Linked DNA regions of Tribolium castaneum. The protein of the gene in region 2 purifies or fractionates together with the protein of the main gene of each other region. This does not show direct contact. Links are inferred from orthologs where the notes say so. Each region holds a gene or a part of one and is shown on either strand. Other genes may lie near its edges.

Region 1 (4,217 bases), on a different chromosome or scaffold from region 2:
GCAAAAATACGACGCAAATTATTTATTTTTAAAGTTTTCGAAGTTAAGCTGCTTCGGTAAAAAGTCGCTCAAACTCAGTGACCAACATTAAAAACTTAAAAAACACGCGGTTATTAAAGCACTCAAATAAATGTTTTTTTTTTTGGTTGGTAACAGTTTAAGCCTTCTTTTTAATATTTGAATCCTAGATTATAAACAACGTGTTTTAAATCAATGTTTTCACTATTTTAAAACACGCTTAAGCAACGTGTTTTAAATTAAAATGTACCAGCAAAAAAATTAATAACACTTCCGAAAACGCTTAAACTTCTCGGGTGTCTAGGTATGCAGCTCTCAAACTTAAAGCTTGTGTTTTCTCACTCGTATTATAAATAACTATTTTCTCATGTTTCTTATGAAGATTTTAGTCGTCAGTTTTTCTTAGGCTGATAATAGCGCAAAGCTCAACATTTCTCAATTTTTTTTCAAGTAATTAAAGAATTGGTTGGATTTAAATTCATTTAAAACAATTTGACGTCGAGACGGTATAATACTCTGCGTACTATTTTTTGGGTTCAGAAGCAATTTTGTCTTATGTTTCGTCTCCTAAGTAATAGTCATCATTAATTAATAAATAAAAAATAAAGACCCATTGAGAAACTGTATGTAACTTTAATTCTTATGGAATACCTACATAAAATACTTGACAATAAAAAACATTAACGATTAAATCTCGGATTAAATATTAGTATTGGATAATTATCCTTATTAATCACTTAACAAATCATCATCAATATTGATATCCTAAAAAAAAACTGTCAATATTAAACCTCAGACGTAAAGAATGTCTCTTACCGTGGTGTCTATATTATCATCAATGTTAACTCCCTCCAAATCCAGATCAAGATCATCTTCATCCTCTTGCTGCAATCTGGGCGGCGCTTTCATTTCACTCTGAACCGGTTGGCTAAAAACCAAAATTAACTCAAAAACTACCAACAACCCCCCAACCAACCTAGTCTGCGCCACTGGCACACTGAACCCTTCGCCCCCTTGCGCCTTCATCTCTTGCACAACATTTCTCTCATGATTCGGCGTAATTTTCTTCGCATCTTTGGCCAACGGTAACCCTTTCCTCCCCATACTATAAAAATGTTGAGCAGCAATCGCATCATTCAAACCCGGGAACAAATTTTCGTAATCCTTCGGATCGGCTAAACTCTGCCCCGCCTTTTCATTCGTCGTCGACAACTTCGCCTTCCACAAGGACACAACTTCGGATATCTTATCGGGCAAGTACGACCTAGCGAAAAACGCGGCTTCGGGCAAACGCCCCGTCGAAATCAAAATCTCCAGACACTTGTCCAAATCTCCCAAAAGGAAAAACGACAAGAAAGCCAAGTTGTGTTTGCCTTCAGAGTGTGTATTTTCGCCCAGTGTTTTCACAAGTTTTTCGTCACCGGAACTCGTAGCCAGGAGAAGGAGGCCCCCATAGTCCTGCGCCCTTTGCATGCACTCCTTGGCTAGTTGGAGGTTGTTAGTCGAAGCGGCTAATTCACCCAATTGGCTCCACTTTTGCGGATTGTTCGCTTCTTGGGCCAGAGTTCGAGCGGTGTTTAAGTCCTCCAAGGCTAAGGCTAGTTCGAATTTGTGTTCGGGGTCCGTGCTCACAGCAAGGGCCTGTTTTTTGAAGCCTTGTTTTTCCAAAAAGTGGGCCACTCGAGTCCGGTGTTCCTTCGGAATCGAGGGTAATACTCTATCGGCTGTGGTAAAGTCACGACGCATTACTGCAGTTTGATACTCGAGTACCGACAATAATAACTGATAACTGACAACCCCTAACTCCTTATCAGCGAGGTAGAGCCGATCGTCACGCGGGACATAGCCGAGGACGTACAAAGGCCGGTCCAAGTGAGCTATGGTTACAAGCTCACCCCCAACGAAATAATTAATTCGGTTGACGGCATTCGTGTAAATGAAACAATCGCCGACCCACAACCCCGTCCGAACTGTCTCGTTCACTTCCCCCAGGACCTCAAACGCTGACTCAACCCCGTCCTCAGCCACCTGTCCCTCGTCCTTAGCCTTCTGGACTTGGTCCGAATCGTACGATAAGATATAATAACTATCTTCGGTCGCAAGACACACCAATTTGCCGTTATCGGACCAGTAGATCGCCCTTGGCTGGATTTCAATCCTTCGGATTAAATCCAAACTATCCCAATCGTAGAACGTCAACCCCGCCACTGACTTAACCCCAAGTAACCACCCCCCGAAAATCCCTTCGGCCCCAAAATCCGGTTTAAAATTCTTCTTCTCTTTGAAGTTTTTATAAATACGGACCGTAGACCCCGCTTCCCTAATCGCATATTCGCTCGAATCTTGCGCCCAAACGAACTCCTGAGCCGCCCCAAAGGCCTTGTTCCGCAACGCCATCGCCGTGTAAATAATATACTCCCCATCGCCGCACACAACAACAAACCGGCCGTTGGGGTTGTGTTGGATCGTCTGGGGGTAGATCTCGCAGGCCCCCATGTCTTTCACAGCCACTGGGAGCCGCTCCCCGTCTCTGACCTCGGCCCCCTCGGGCAAAGCCTTCAGATTGGCTTGCTGCAGCTCCGAATGTCTGGCCCAGATTATTTTGCCCCCAGTGGCGTCCATGCTAACTGCCGGCTCCTCTCGCCCGATTTTGACCAAAATACTGCCCTCATCATACCCGAAAACTACGTTGTTTGAGCCTTTGAGGCAGCAAATCGTCCAAACGCGTTCGAAGCCGTAGTTGAGGCTACTTTCAAGACGGTGTGTGTTAGCGTGCCAGACTTTGACAGTGCCGTCTTCGCTCCCTGTCAGGACGATTGGGAGTTCAGGGTGGAAACACACCGAGCTGATGTTTTGAGTGTGGCCTTCGAGGGTTTGGACGCATGTTTTGTTCTGGTAGTCCCAGATTTTGACAAGACGGTCGTCGGCGCCTGAAATGATGTAGGGTTTGTCGCCCCCGTGGTAATAATCGACGCAATTGACCCCCTTCTCGTGGCCTTCGAGCGTGAAATTGGGGGTGGAAGCACCCAGTTGCCACACTTTCAATGTGCGGTCGAGGGACGCGCTTACGAACGTGTTGTTGTCTTTGGGGTTGATTGCGATTTGCATTACGTAGTGAGAGTGGCCTTCGAAGACTTGTTGACAGGCCCAGGCTTTCTCCCAGTTCCATAATTTGATAAGCATGTCATCTAGAGGTTTCATATTTCGCATTGTAATACAATAGCAAGTGTAAAATTATTCAAAGCCAGTGGATATACTAATGTAGCGACCGGGGCAACAAAAACGATTGTACATTCTATCAAAATATAAATTAAAATTGTGAACACATGGAAAAGTGTCAGATTTCCTCGCGTTTGAAAAATTGGTAAATTAAAACAGTAAATTCGGTGATCATCTAATAGTTTCACACACCGATCAGGTTTCATTCTGGGTATCAGTGTTTATATGTACAGACACCACGAACCTTCAAACTGTGCTCCAATCACGTAAAAAATAAATCAGATTGCCCTAATACAACTGAACATTGCAATGAGATAGGCTTTTAGATTACACAGAAAAAAAAATCAATACTCTTACGGATTACTCTTACTTTTACGGACAGTTAAAGGAAGGTGTCAAAGTTTAACATTCAAAGAAATGTGAAGTTATTTACCGTTTATCTAAATAAATTGAACAAACATATAACATCAACTTGCAGACGACAAAAATTGGATGCAACGTGACATATCTCACTAATATTTTTTCCATTTTGAATGAAATGAATATTTCATGAAAATTAACAACACATACTTTGAAAGTTAATAACAGAAATGGAGCAATGATTCAATGCTCGAACTACATATTATGGAAAATATATGAAAATAGAAACTATTTCCAATGCCGTCAAAAACTGCATGATTTCTTGGTACTAAACGAGCCTTCTCTTAACAGTGCCCTTCAAAAATTGATCGTAGAATGTAGAATATGAATTAAAAATATCAAGAATTTAAATTTAGAAGATGTGCCGTTAAAAGAAAAATAATTATGTTCTTTGTATATCAAACTGAATATTCATTGTTTTCAGCAAAAAAGACATTGGCAAGTTAAAAAACAACTTTATTATAAATAATAGTACTGAAAGCACTTATTACAACAGTGAAAACCGTTCCTCTGTATCTGCTCTCTAACTCAAGTTATTTCGATTTAAGGCTGAAATTATG
Region 2 (4,602 bases):
TCGCCATTTCAGGACACCGACGTCTGTGTGCAACGGGAATGGTTTGGATGGTTGTTTGAGCCCAATCTAAATTAACGAAATTAATCAACAATAATTTTTTGGTTTGTTTGTACTTGGGAACGCAGTTTGAAAAGTTCCTTGTCTACATTGGGGTGAGTTTGGAGCTGGATGCCACGCGTGTCTTTATTTTCCAACTGGACACGAATTCGCCCCCACTTTTCGTCCCCAATGTGCAGTGTCACCAACCCCAACAACTCGAATTGTTGCACACCGCCGTCACGGCCCATTCGAACGATTAGTTTTTCCTCCAGTCTCAAGTGAACACTGGAAATAATTCAAGTCACTTTCTACTCTATTCTGTTTATTTTCTTACTCATTAATATCGGACTTGATCGCTGGTGTTTTCATTCCCCCTTGTGAAATACTGTTATTAACTGGTGCAATGACATTTTCGCCTTCGGATTTAAGCTGGTCTACGAAAGACTCAACGTCGTGGCCTTTGCCACCCAGTTTCATTCCTCGAGTCGAAGGTTTCCTATTAAATCAATTTAAAAAAAAATTTTTTGGATGTTTTTAACATACTGAGGAGCGGAGGAATAAGCTGGTGGTTTGATATCGTTTGAAATATTGGCAACATCGCCGACTGAAGGGGCTGGAGTATAACCAGATGAGCTACCAAAGCCTCCACTGCTACCAAATGATGGTTTGACGCCCTTTTTGTTGGCTTCCATTCGCTGGCGTTGCAATTCTTTAGCTTTCTCACGCATTTTGTTTTTAGCTTCGCGTTCTTGTGTCTAAAGAGGAGTCAGTTCGTAAATCAGAAATTACATTGGTTTCGAATCTATACAAACAGCATGCCTTAATTCAATTATAGGAAAGGGCTCTAAAAGAAATATTATGCTTTCTATCAAATGTTAGATGTCTCATGTCTTCTGTTTCTATTTTATTCGCCCTAAGACCTCCGTGAGGAGGTTTAAAAGTGCAGAAATATCGGAAATGGCTTTCTATGCCCAAGCTAAACATTCTGTCTGAATAAGATGTTTTTCCTTTCGTGAAACTTTAAATCTTGAATTTATTGTAAATAAAAGCAATTTAAAAATTTAATAACGCTTGTCTTTAAGTTTTCATAGTTTTTAAACCAGTGGATAAATAAGTGGGTCGTAAAAAATTCAAAAACTACACATACAAAAAAATAAACATTTTCTTTAATCACACTGCTAGTAGTTTTTCCAAAAAGTAAATAGTTTAAGCAAAAAAAAACACGTTAGATTTCATTCTCTTTATTCACCTGGTAGGTATATCAACAAGTTATACAAACAATAGCATAGTCTCTTTATGTTGATGTGAAACGGAATATTATTATGGTATTATAAGAACTCTAGATTTTACAGCAATTCTTTTTATGTTCATTATACCATTATTAATTTTCAACATAAAATCCATCAGGGTAACAAAAAAAAATAGTGAGACAGGTATTAGCGATGAATTCGTTCACTTAAACGTTAGAACAGCTGATCAGTGATCACTTACCAAATTAACTGTTAAATTAACTTTTAACAGCAAATTAATTTTTATTTCACCTTCTACTGGGTCACTATGAAATAATGTGTCGAAAAATTTATTATATCTGATTTTATACCTCAAATAAAAATTTAAAATTGGGAGGAATTTTACTTAACATCTTAAAAAATTTATTGGCAATACTGAGTTATTTGCTTTATTACCAAAATTACTTTAAGAGCTGTGACTAACACAAAATCTTTGAAAACTTGTCATTTTGTTTATTTCTTTCAAACCGCTTTCATTTAAGACAGAATCCAAAATCTTACCGGGAAATATACTGAGTTACATGGTTAAAAATTAAAAGTCAGTATTGCCATCTGAAATTACAACTTCTTGGCTTTAATAATTTTTAACCAAAAAATTCCCTTTTTTTGTCACTGATGACAGAATCCAAAACCTTAACCAGAAATATACTTCAGTTACATTGTTTAAAATTAGAATTCAGTATTGCCAACTGGAATTACGACTTTTTGGCATTACAATTTCTAGAACTGTTGTTAATTTATTTTCTGTGAGGCAATCTAATCATGAAATAGCAAATTTGAAATAATAGCCGTGTCCGTTGTTGTACAAACTTTGATAATAAATGATTTTACCAGTTTAGCAATTTTATTACCTGTCTGACGGCCTGATAGACCCGCTCTTCGTGTGAATCCATCTCGACAAATGTGCGAATTTGGCTCAAATTGACGCTTTCCCTGTACCCAAGAGCAACAATCTCATCAAACGCAAAAATGAGGGAAAATGCGTTTTCCGCAATTTCATTTTCTTCCAATGAGCGGCAATATTCGGGAATCTAAAATAATGACAATGTGAGGATGTTTTTGTGGCTTCCATGGGTCTGGACAGCTTACCACTTTCGCAAACAACCTCAGAGTTTCTAAATCTTCCAAAATGTTGCTAGCTCTTGTGGTAATCAGGAGCATGTAAAGGCGCTCAAGTGGCTGATATACATATCGGACCGAGTCGGTCTCTACAAAGGTGTGTTGTGTTCCTGTTGGGATAAGTTTGGGGAAAGCCGCCAGGAGACCCTCAATGCGGGCTTTGGTCATCTCAACAAACTGCCGAGAGACTATGGCTGGAAAGGCAGAGAAAGGTTGCAACACATGGTTCGGTGGTTTATGTGGGGTACTTACTTTTACCGGCCTTAGTGCAGACCGCCGCTGCTATGAGCACCTGAAATCATATGTTATAACGTGAGAAAATGCGTAAAATGGCAACTTGGAAATTTTAAATTGGAATTGTGAAAGGTTGGATTTGTGTGGTGTGTGAAAGATTATCTCACCATTTTAGAGACTGTGAAAGGTCTGTTGCTGTTATGTTCCTAAAAACTAAAATAATATTTTACAAAACATTACACCCTATTAATTTTTTAAGATGACGTTGACTTGTGCTTGCTGTTGAATGAGAAAAACAGTGACGTGACCGTATTCAGTCAGCCAACCTTACGCCGATTCACTGCACCAGCTCTAGGCGCAAAATTCGAAAATGCTCCAGTTTCTACTCATAAGTTACTTAAAATCAAACTAAATAAGTCAATAACTGCTCTATTTTTATATTTTTTGTTGCTTCAGCTATTTAGTAATTTGTTCCTACTAAAATATAGCAATACAGGAATGTGAAAAAAAGCAAAAAAAAACGTAATTATTTTAGAAATAAACCAGATAATAAATTGTATCTAACTAAAAAAAAATATTTTCGGTTTTTTATTATCCACTATGGCCTAAGAATATTTCAGCAAACTAAATTGTCTTAATAGATTATAGTAAATTATGATATTGTAAAGATATGTATCTGAACAAATTGATTGAATATCAAAAAAAAATTGCGGCCTAGAATTACAAGTTATTTTTATTTCTAAGGTGGGTGGTTTGGGTTATTTGAGTATTAAGTATAGCTAGTGCAATAAAAATGATTAAATAAAATATCGTGATTAAATTGCAAGTATTTTGAAAATTTAAATTTTTTTTAATATCAAACATTCCAAAATTTTTATCTTGGCTACCAGATCACGAAAATATAGGCCAGAGTTATTTTTTATTACATTCTGATTAATAAGTAAAAAATTTTAACCATTCTTTGTCTATCATAAAGTCATAAGATAAGGCTATGAAAAAAACATAGTATTTTCCTGTATGCTACTGCAAATGTTAATTAAAGATAGAAAACAATACAAAAATGCCACAGTAAAGTGTCAAATTTCAAAAATTTAAGATTAGAATAATATTAACGTGTGTTAGTCTGACTTTTGTGCGATATATTATATTATTTTCTCATTTTTTAAAGGTAATCAATGGTAATCAAAAAAATTGTAAATGTGAGAAAAATAAACAACAATAATTTTTTATTAACACAATAATTTGTCGGATATTGTTATTCATTCGTTTACTTAATTTTTTACACTTTAGGTACGAGTATTAGCAAGAAGCTTTTAATTACTTTAAGCTGATATAATCAACAAATATAATCAGCCAGCACGATTAACTGTTATTTATTATCTACCTGTAAACCATTATTAATAGTGCGTTTGGTAAATATCTCAAACTAAATAATTACTTTACTTTATTACTCTTCTTTCGATTGGCTCTTGAATTTTCCTTCAGTTTGCACATCTTGTTGAGCAATTATTTGCTGGCATTTTTCTGACGCAAGTGTGTTTCAGTTCGATATTTTCCAATACCCCGATTAGTTTGAAAATTATCGTTTAGGTGGTTACAGTGTATTCAAAAATTTGTACATAGACTGCACTGAAAACTGTAAATCCATCATAGGAATGTGTTAAAATTGATGATTAGGTACTGAGTTTGAAGCATTTTTTATTTCATGAATAAAACATTGGTGGTAGAGGATTTATAATTTGTTTGTCTCATCAAGAAATCAATATGTTTGTCAATTGACATGAATAATGTGCAGTCACAAGCTCACAAGACTACTGTTACTACACATCAGTTTAGTGAGTGTTTTTTTTTTAATCATACTTTACTTTAATAATCAACAAATGTTCCTTTTTTTGTATAAGTGATTTAAGCAACAGAACAA

The links.
Region 1: the proteins of deltaCOP (region 2) and beta'COP fractionate together in Homo sapiens (co-fractionation; 5 studies listed by BioGRID and IntAct, with this or other methods). This does not show direct contact. The link is inferred for Tribolium castaneum from reciprocal best matches to the Homo sapiens genes ARCN1 and COPB2.

What each region holds. Positions count from the first base shown.
Region 1 is NC_087398.1:12,749,850-12,754,066, reverse strand, and holds the end of beta'COP (coatomer subunit beta'), read right to left. Parts: intron 3,207-4,217; coding exon 995-3,206; intron 947-994; coding exon 835-946; intron 784-834; coding exon 748-783; 3' UTR 632-747; downstream 1-631. UniProt on the Homo sapiens protein: The coatomer is a cytosolic protein complex that binds to dilysine motifs and reversibly associates with Golgi non-clathrin-coated vesicles, which further mediate biosynthetic protein transport from the ER, via the Golgi up to the trans Golgi network.
Region 2 is NC_087394.1:32,202,789-32,207,390, reverse strand, and holds the start of deltaCOP (coatomer subunit delta), read right to left. Parts: upstream 3,005-4,602; 5' UTR 2,852-3,004; coding exon 2,849-2,851; intron 2,740-2,848; coding exon 2,700-2,739; intron 2,642-2,699; coding exon 2,418-2,641; intron 2,360-2,417; coding exon 2,180-2,359; intron 795-2,179; coding exon 583-794; intron 536-582; coding exon 374-535; intron 325-373; coding exon 114-324; intron 67-113; coding exon 1-66. Other genes in the region: hfw (protein halfway), read left to right, coding at 4,469-4,516. UniProt on the Homo sapiens protein: Component of the coatomer, a cytosolic protein complex that binds to dilysine motifs and reversibly associates with Golgi non-clathrin-coated vesicles, which further mediate biosynthetic protein transport from the ER, via the Golgi up to the trans Golgi network.